2 linked regions of the Nothobranchius furzeri genome follow. The protein of the gene in region 2 purifies or fractionates together with the protein of the main gene of each other region. This does not show direct contact. Links are inferred from orthologs where the notes say so. Each region holds a gene or a part of one and is shown on either strand. Other genes may lie near its edges.

Region 1 (3,768 bases), on a different chromosome or scaffold from region 2:
GGAAGATCCTGGTCCCCCCACCGCCACCACCCCCTCCTGAAGAGGAGGAAGAGGAGGAACCTGTGGAGGAACCACCTGCACCTCCTGCCCCCATGGAGAAAAAACTAACCTTTTTCCCTCACCCTTACTATTATGCTCACCCCTACGACCCCAGAGATGATCTGTACGACCCGGCCCGCTTCCAGTACCCACAACCGGCCGACGCCCCCGAGGGGCCTGCAGAGGGGGGCAAGTGAACGTCTCTTTAGATGAAACGAACTGACTCAAAACACCCGTCCAGGGGTTCAGTGTCTCTGTAAAGGAAGCAGCTTTGATGAGTTGTGAATAAAAACACACCTGACTGTATTTATCATCACCTGATTCACTGATGTGCAAATTATGTTTAAGTTGTGAGCCAATAAAAAAAAAAGATGAGTGAAATCAGTGGAGTTTTTGACTTAATGAAAAATGCAAGAGGAGACCCAAAGGGTTGGATCCTCTCGGGTTTAAGTTGGGACTCGTAAAGTTCCAACTCACAGGTCATTACATCCGCTGCTGCTTTGCATTAAACACTCCAGTAATTGCTGACTCCGTTGGAAGCTCTGAACCTCATTTTTCCTGCCACACATGCATGTCTGTCTCAAAACCTCCACGGGCAAAAATCACGCAGCAGGAGGACGAGTTCAAAAACACAACAAAACGATGAGTTAGCAACAAACACTAAAGCTGCTAGAGCTGCAGCTCCACGTAGCGAAGCTTTCATGAGCTCCTTTAAACCTGCAGCTGTGTTATTACCACCATGTGTGTTTTCTTATTAATGCATTCAAACAACAGACACGAGGTTCCATGAAAAAAAAAAAACAAGATCATTTATTACAGAAACAGTAAAACAAACGGAGTAAAATTAGATCAAGTCCATGTACAGTGACCCAGAGAGTTAAAAGAGTTTGTATGGATTGACTATTGAATCGTGTGCTCTGAGATACACTCGCTGTTGAACTTTGTGGGGGAAAGCTGCGTAAGAGTTTCTTTTAGCTCATCAAAATACAACCAAACAAAAAAACAAAGAAGAAGGTGGAGGAGTTGGTGCGTTTTTGTCTCTCAGCTCAAAAGAAAAGTCCTCTCATCCTTCGGCCGATGCCCTGCCGGTCGTACAGGACGTTGAACTTGTTGATGAACTGGTTCATACTGTTGCAAGTCTTGGTGATGGTGCCTAAGTAGGCCATGAGGCCCACGTCATTACATTGCTGCAGGATCAAGGGGAAATAGGAACATATCAAATCTGGACTTTTGCTTACATAAATGTTGATATTTTGCTCACAAACAGCCAGCGTCATGTTTAGATGGTAGAAAACAAACCTGAAAATCTCTTTTTCTTACTCACATTAAATAAACACAACGACAGCCCCATGTTTGCCCTGCTGCTTTGAGCTTTACCCAGGTTTAGGCTCATTTTTCTCTATTATAGGAATAAATAGCTTCTAATAATTTCCGTGCTCTCCTGTACTCTTTCTACATCAACATTTAGCTCAGTGTTCATTTTAAAACTCATAAATAGGTGTTCATTAACTAAATCTTTGCGCTTTTTCTAAAAAACCTAAAAATCTAGTCATGAAACATGAATATTTCTGAATTACAACCAAGTTTACTCACGTCATAGAAATCCGTTTTGAACTTTATGGTGCTGAGGACCGGCAGTCTGTGGCAGAGGGCGTTAGCTTCACGAAGGATCTCGTGGTTAAACGGCACCTCTCCTGTTACACACACAAACACACACGCATCACATGCACACACACACATGCATGCACACACAGGAAAAATAACTTAAAAAGCATATAATAATGTGTTGGGATCATGTTTATTTACAAAAGGGCTTGTACGTGTGTGTGTGTGTGTGTGTGTGTGTGTGTGTGTGTGTGTGTGTGTGTGTGTGTGTGTGTGTGTGTGTGTGTGTGTGTGTGTGTGTGTGTGTGTGTGTGTGTGTGTGTGAAGACAAGAGGGGAAGAACCTAGTGAGAACAGCTGCTTAACTGATGTATTGAGACATTTTTCCCCTCGGAGCCTCATAAACGTGTCTCTCACCTGCCTCGACGGCTTTGACGTATTCTAGAATTATCTTCACTCGGCTGTGGAGCATCTTTATTGCGCTGTGCTGAGCTATAAGGTGTTCAGCCACTGACAGAGGAAAGAGAACAATAAACACATTAAAAACAAACACAGTCAGTTAGAATAACCTTTCTCAGTGGCCGAGTGGTAGAGTGTCCGCCCTGAGACTGGGAGATCAGGGTTCGATTCCCGGTCGGGTCATACCAAAGACTTTGAAAAAATGGGACCCAATGCCTCCCTGCTTGAGACTCAGCATTAAGGGGTTGGATTGGGGGGTTAAACCACCAAATAGTTCCCGAGCGCGGCTGTGTCTACTGCTCACCGCTCCCCCCAGGGGATGGGTCAAATGCGGAGAACAAATGTCGCACACACACCTGTGTGTGTGACAACTAATGGGACTTTGACATCAGACACATCAGAGTGGTGACTAACAACCTGCCTCTTCCTCACTCGCCTTGACTCTGAACCAGCTGCTGGTGTGTATTCGTCTCTCAAAGCATCTCATGACCCACATGGTGGGTTTTATCGAAACTCTGATGTGTATTTACAATTAAATTAGCTTTAGAGTCCATTAAAGATGGCCGTCACAGCTAATCAACGTTAGCAAACACGAAGATGGATGTAACTTAGTGAAGTTTACAGATATTGAGCTAAACTTGGTGTAAGTAACAGAGTCATAAACACAGACTAACAAATCAAACAAAATAAATAAATACTGAATTAGATCCCTGTTTGGCCTGGCTTGTTCTCCTCACCTGTGGAGTTTTCTCCGGTGCCGGTGGCTGTCATTCGAGCTACATGATCAACACCGATTCTCTCTGCCTCCTCTGTGGCTAAAGTGTAAGTCAGCTCAGCAAACAACATGGTAGCCTGGGTGGCAACAAAAGAAAACCACACACAGAAATGTTAGTAGAGAACAAAATTATTGTGAAAAGAAGTTTTTCAACTGAGCAGGACGTACCTCGCCACTGATGATGTCAATCACAGATTCATAAACACTAACAGGAAGCTGAAGGAGAAAGGAAACACTTTTTAAAACCCGTCTGATTGCTGCTGCTTCACCGATGCACCGAGGATAAACTTACGTCAGTGTGTTTGGTCATTGGGTTGAGCTTCAGGAAGAGTGGACTCTCAATGATCTCACACACCTGGCAGCAAACACACACGTATACAACAAAAGTATTATAAACACTTATTAATAACAAAACTCATGAGTGTGTGTGTGTGTGCCTGCTCTGTCTTCTCGATCCCCAGTGAGTCGTGGAGGATGGCTGCTTATACTGAGCCAGGATTCTCTGGAGGTTTCTTCCTGTTAAAAGGGAGTTTTCCTCTCCACTGTCGCTTTATGCTTGCTTAGTATAAGGATTGCTGTAAAGTCACTGACACTAGTCAGTGACTTGATGCAATCTGCTAGGTTCCTTATACAGGAAACATTTTACTGATTGGCTTAATGAACTGACCTGTATTCTAAAATCACTCAACAAGTTACAGTTAGTCCAAAATTCAGCTGCCCGGATAATCACCAAGACCTCCACTTTTGATCACATTACCCCTTCACTGGCTCCCTGTCAAGTACAGAATTGACTTCATGCCTTCTTCATGCCTTTAAAGCCATCCATAATCTCTGCTCCCCCATATCTTTCTAATCTCCTCCACATTGTCACTCCCACTCGCTCTCTCCGAT
Region 2 (4,463 bases):
TCTCGCAGCAAGCTTGAGGAGGGCTGGAGACCTTTCCTAACCCACCACAAGGCTATCTAGCTGGTGAAATGGTTTGGATTAATGACTGGTGCTGAAACATACCTAATGTAATTTTGCTCTATCATCTGTAATGGGCCATTCCCATCTGTACCGGGTCGGCCCGGGCCGGGTAGCCCCAGTCGGCCCCAGCCTGGCCCGGTTGATTCCACACATCATTGCCTTAAGCCCATGTGGGCTGATTCTACCCACCAATCAGAGGCTTGCTCTAATGGAAGGTGTGAATTTGCTGTCAGCAGTGGGTGTGTTGGCCCTGGTCGGCCTGAAGCAGACCCCCTCGACAAGAGGGCTGAGAATGAGCCTTGGTTGGCCCGGAAAAATACCAGGCCACCCAGAAATGTAAACAACCTACGCTACCCGGCCCGGGTCGACCCGGTACAGATGGGAATGGCCCATTAATGTGCTTAATAGTGACGGTTTTACAAACCTTTCTGTTTACAATGTGGTCTGGCAGCCCCCCCCCCCCCCCCCCTCCTTTTTTCTCCCTCTTTTTCTTTTTTTTTTTTTTGTCTTTTTTATTTTTAAGTTTAGTATTTTTATTCTTATTTTGATTATAAACATATGTTTGTTTATATGGCTTGACTAAAAACCTGACAAATAAAATATTATAAAAAAGACCTTTAAGTTGTTTGTGTTGAGTTATGCTTGCAGGGTGAAACACATGAATAAAGCAGGCAGCAGTGGAAAGGAAAAGCCCAAAAATAACAGATCAACTAACGTTAAACTAATCCTACCAGCAGAAGCCGGAAGATGGTCTGCTGTGAACACAAAATAAGGTAAACAGCCTTATCATCTGTAAGGGCTTCGGTTATGTGGATCCCAGCTGATAAAATGTGCAACACTGACTTTTTGGCACGTTTTATCACATAACAGCTTCTAGTACTCTGCCCGAGAACAGAACATGCTGATAACAACTCTTTGTTTCTTCTTTTGAATAATTCTCTTGCTTTTTTATTATCATGAATTTCAACAAGAGCATTTATGAAGGAGAAACTGCTCACAGGAAGATCTGAGGGCATACAAACTAACCCTTCAGTGGCAAAAGGTGCTTTTGTCAAGTTTCACCTTTAAATAAATTGAATTAGTATTTAAAATCAATTGTCACATAGCAACTGGAGGTGCCCAGTATTGTCGTCGTAAAAGCTGAATTATGCAGGCGAGACGGTAACCTGAGTGAGAAGCATGAAGGCGTTGTCAGCTCTGAGGTGTTTAGTGAGGAACTCCACACAGTGGCTCTCCAGGGCAGGGAGGGCATATTTCTTGGCTGTATACAGAGTCGTCATCACCGTCTCCGGACCAATGTGGACCTCGTCAGAATACAGGAACCTACATAAGAAGGAACATAGTTACATTTTGGGATGTTTAGCCAGCACTTATATAACACTATAAACTCCCACACAGTTAAAATACTCTGGAAAAAACCCCACCCCAAATCACATATCACTTCTTTAAACACTGCTATTTAAAAACTTGATGGTTTTATTTCCTTTTAAACCATTTGAAGACATTTCAATTTCCTTTTCCGTTTATATTAATGGAAAATGAAATACATTGAAATCATTGGGTTGCTTTGTCACTAGCAACCTGTGACAAAAACAGTTTTTTGTGTTCATTGATTACCTCAGCAAAGTGATTTTAAATAAATTCAATTCAAGTTTATTTATATAGCGCCAAATCACGACAAGAGTTGTCTCAAGGCACTTCACACAATAAACATTCCCATAGAGGTCAGTTCATTAAGCCAATCAGTAAAAAGTTTCCTATAAAAGGAACCCAGCAAATTGCATCAAGTCACTGACCGATGTCAGTGACTTTACAGCAATCCTCATACTAAGGAAAACTCCCTTTTAACAGGAAGAAACCTTAAATGAGGTTTTTGAGATATTTTTTAATAGAACTTCAATAAAAACTTGAAAGATGTCCTTAGAGAATTAATAATAATAATAAAACATTTAAAAACACATCCAAAAGGATTTTATTTGTGTGGCTCTCTAATTAAAGCCACACAAAGACGTGTCTTTGTAACAAGCTAGTTCTTGTTATGAAAGGATGCAACACCAGTTCATCCCTTGAGTTAGGGTTTTGTGCTGAATAACTTGAGTCCATATTAAATGACTGACCATCATAACTCTTTATTCCACTGACTGATCAGGTGTGACGACTGGACAGATCCATTAAAAACTGATTTAAAGGAAATAATGAGCTACTCTTACAATGCAAATGTTAGTATCACACCAAATGTGCAATGTTTTTCTAATTGAAGTATTTGCCACAATTAAAAATGTAAAAACCACAAGCCCACTGAGTAAAATAATGAGAACAGTGTTGTGTGACAACCTGAAGTTGCATGTATTTAGAGTACATACACCTGTCCGAAGTACCTGAGCAAGGAGAGGAAGGCTGCTGGCTCCACATCTGGGAGCTCTATTTCAGTCGAGGTCGTGGCCATTCCTCCGTTGAACATGGCATCAAAGACGGCGCTGCCTGCGGCCAGGACGAATTTATGAGCCGGTATCCTCTGGGCCTGTCTGCCTTTCCCCACTATGAACCTGACGTCGCTGAGCAGCTCGTTGTTGAAGAGGAAGGCGAAGCGCTCTTTCAGTGAACTCTTGGTCGCCTGCCAGTTGTACATGGGCTCCCGGTGAAGGCCGAGGACAGGCGGGGAGGCGGACGGTCCGGGAGCGGACACTGGTATGTTAGACAACGACGCCACGGCTCCACACTGAGACGAGTTTGATGCAGCCTCTTGGCTGTTTTGGTTTGACGCCAATCCGCTACCACTCCCGCTGGCCATTACAACACACAAACTAATATACAAATGTTAGTACAAAAAATCCCGCTTTTGTTACATGACCGGGAATCGACCGCATGGGTGCATCATTATTTATTTACGTATTATCCATCACGAGGCTACAGCTGCGGCTTGCTAACAAAACCCAAACGTACTTCCTCGAAACACTTCTTCTTCTTTGGTGTTTTACGGCAGTCTGTAAGCCTTTAGTTGCACTACCGCCACCCTTTGACTTTAGATGGCCATTGCAGTTTTTGTCCTTGAAACCAAGTAAAAACTAGAAAACTTTCTTAGAACCGTATGTACAGTCTATGCTTAGAACCAGTAACACTCTTTGATTTGGTATAAGAGGTCAGCGCAAAATTAAGAATGCAAAGAACAAGTTAGAAAAAAAGAGAGATATGATATGGGATGCTGCACATAGTCATATTTTTTCTTTTAGACACAATCTCTCTCTCTCTCTCTCTCTCTCTCTCTCTCTCTCTCTCTCTGTAAAGTTTATTTATTATTATTATTTCAAAATATATTTATTTAATTTATTGAAGCAGCTTCATGCTCCAAATTATCTTTCTGCACCCAGTTTCAGTTTTTCCATTTGCCCTCTAGATGTAAGGAGTTTGTTTTACTTGAATATCTTTGTCAAAACCAAAACATTAAAAATATTGAGTTTAATTGTCACTTAGGCTATTTGGCTAGACAGTGTAATAAAGAAAATCTGGAACATTCTTGTCTGCTCATGAATGTGAGCAGCTGTGCGCGCGCGTTGGGAGGAAGTTAATCCTCTCAGGCTCAAAATAAGTTTTGATAAATGGACGAACAAGTAAGTCCTTCACATATGAGTTAAAAAAAATGCTCCTGAAATACGTATGTGGAGTAACCAGGTAGGTAGTTTTAACTGTTGCAAACCTGCAACGCCTGCCTCCAGAGGGTTAAAAGTAGATTCATTAATCCAGACAGACCAGACGGACGAACCGAGCATGCCTGCTGCTCCAGCACTCTCCAAACATCCCCTAAATTATGACACAAACTAAATCAGGAGTCAATTTATTCTAAATTCTTCACCGTCTTAAGCTCGACCCCACTGGGCAGCAATGAGCGCTTCTGCTGGGACAGGGGTGTTCATGCTGTCCCTGATGTCCATACCCTTCTGCTATTTATTCAACTCTCTAGTTTACAACAACAGGTAAGTGCTTGTAAACAATTTTTTTCATGTTGTAAATTTAACTTTCTGTGGTGATACAAACAAATATTATTAGATGTAGCCAAACATTTCTTGATTATTTTTAGCCCATTGGGTAGAAAAACATGGTGTTCTTATGTTGCATCCAGTGCTGAAGCTTTTCTCTTTGCTGGGAGCACGGCAGTTGTGATTCTGGCTATTTCAGTCCGTTTTATGCTCAAGAAGAAAGCTCCAGTTGATCCACTTTTCTATGGTAGGAATTTTCTATTTGAAACACAAGTTTCTGTCCAAAACAAGCTACATCTTTTTGGTATCAAGTAAAAAAAAAAAAAACGTCATGAATGTAAGAGAAAACCTAAAAGTGTGCATGCATTTGTATGCAGTGTATGCAGTTTATGCTTTCCTCAGTGTTGTGAACCTGATCATTGGACTGGA

Evidence for each region.
Region 1: the proteins of BTB/POZ domain-containing protein 1 (region 2) and cops6 purify together in Homo sapiens (affinity purification with mass spectrometry; 3 studies listed by BioGRID and IntAct, counting the BioPlex papers as one, with this or other methods). This does not show direct contact. The link is inferred for Nothobranchius furzeri from reciprocal best matches to the Homo sapiens genes BTBD1 and COPS6.

What each region holds. Positions count from the first base shown.
Region 1 is NC_091741.1:79,983,603-79,987,370, forward strand, and holds the end of cops6 (COP9 signalosome complex subunit 6), read right to left. Parts: intron 3,233-3,768; coding exon 3,170-3,232; intron 3,094-3,169; coding exon 3,046-3,093; intron 2,955-3,045; coding exon 2,840-2,954; intron 2,154-2,839; coding exon 2,061-2,153; intron 1,734-2,060; coding exon 1,633-1,733; intron 1,227-1,632; coding exon 1,086-1,226; 3' UTR 822-1,085; downstream 1-821. Other genes in the region: and3 (actinodin3), read left to right, coding at 1-236. UniProt on the Homo sapiens protein: Component of the COP9 signalosome complex (CSN), a complex involved in various cellular and developmental processes.
Region 2 is NC_091749.1:41,447,094-41,451,556, reverse strand, and holds the start of BTB/POZ domain-containing protein 1, read right to left. Parts: upstream 3,004-4,463; 5' UTR 2,852-3,003; coding exon 2,439-2,851; intron 1,384-2,438; coding exon 1,227-1,383; intron 1-1,226. Other genes in the region: transmembrane 6 superfamily member 1, read left to right, coding at 3,940-4,031, 4,178-4,281, 4,412-4,463.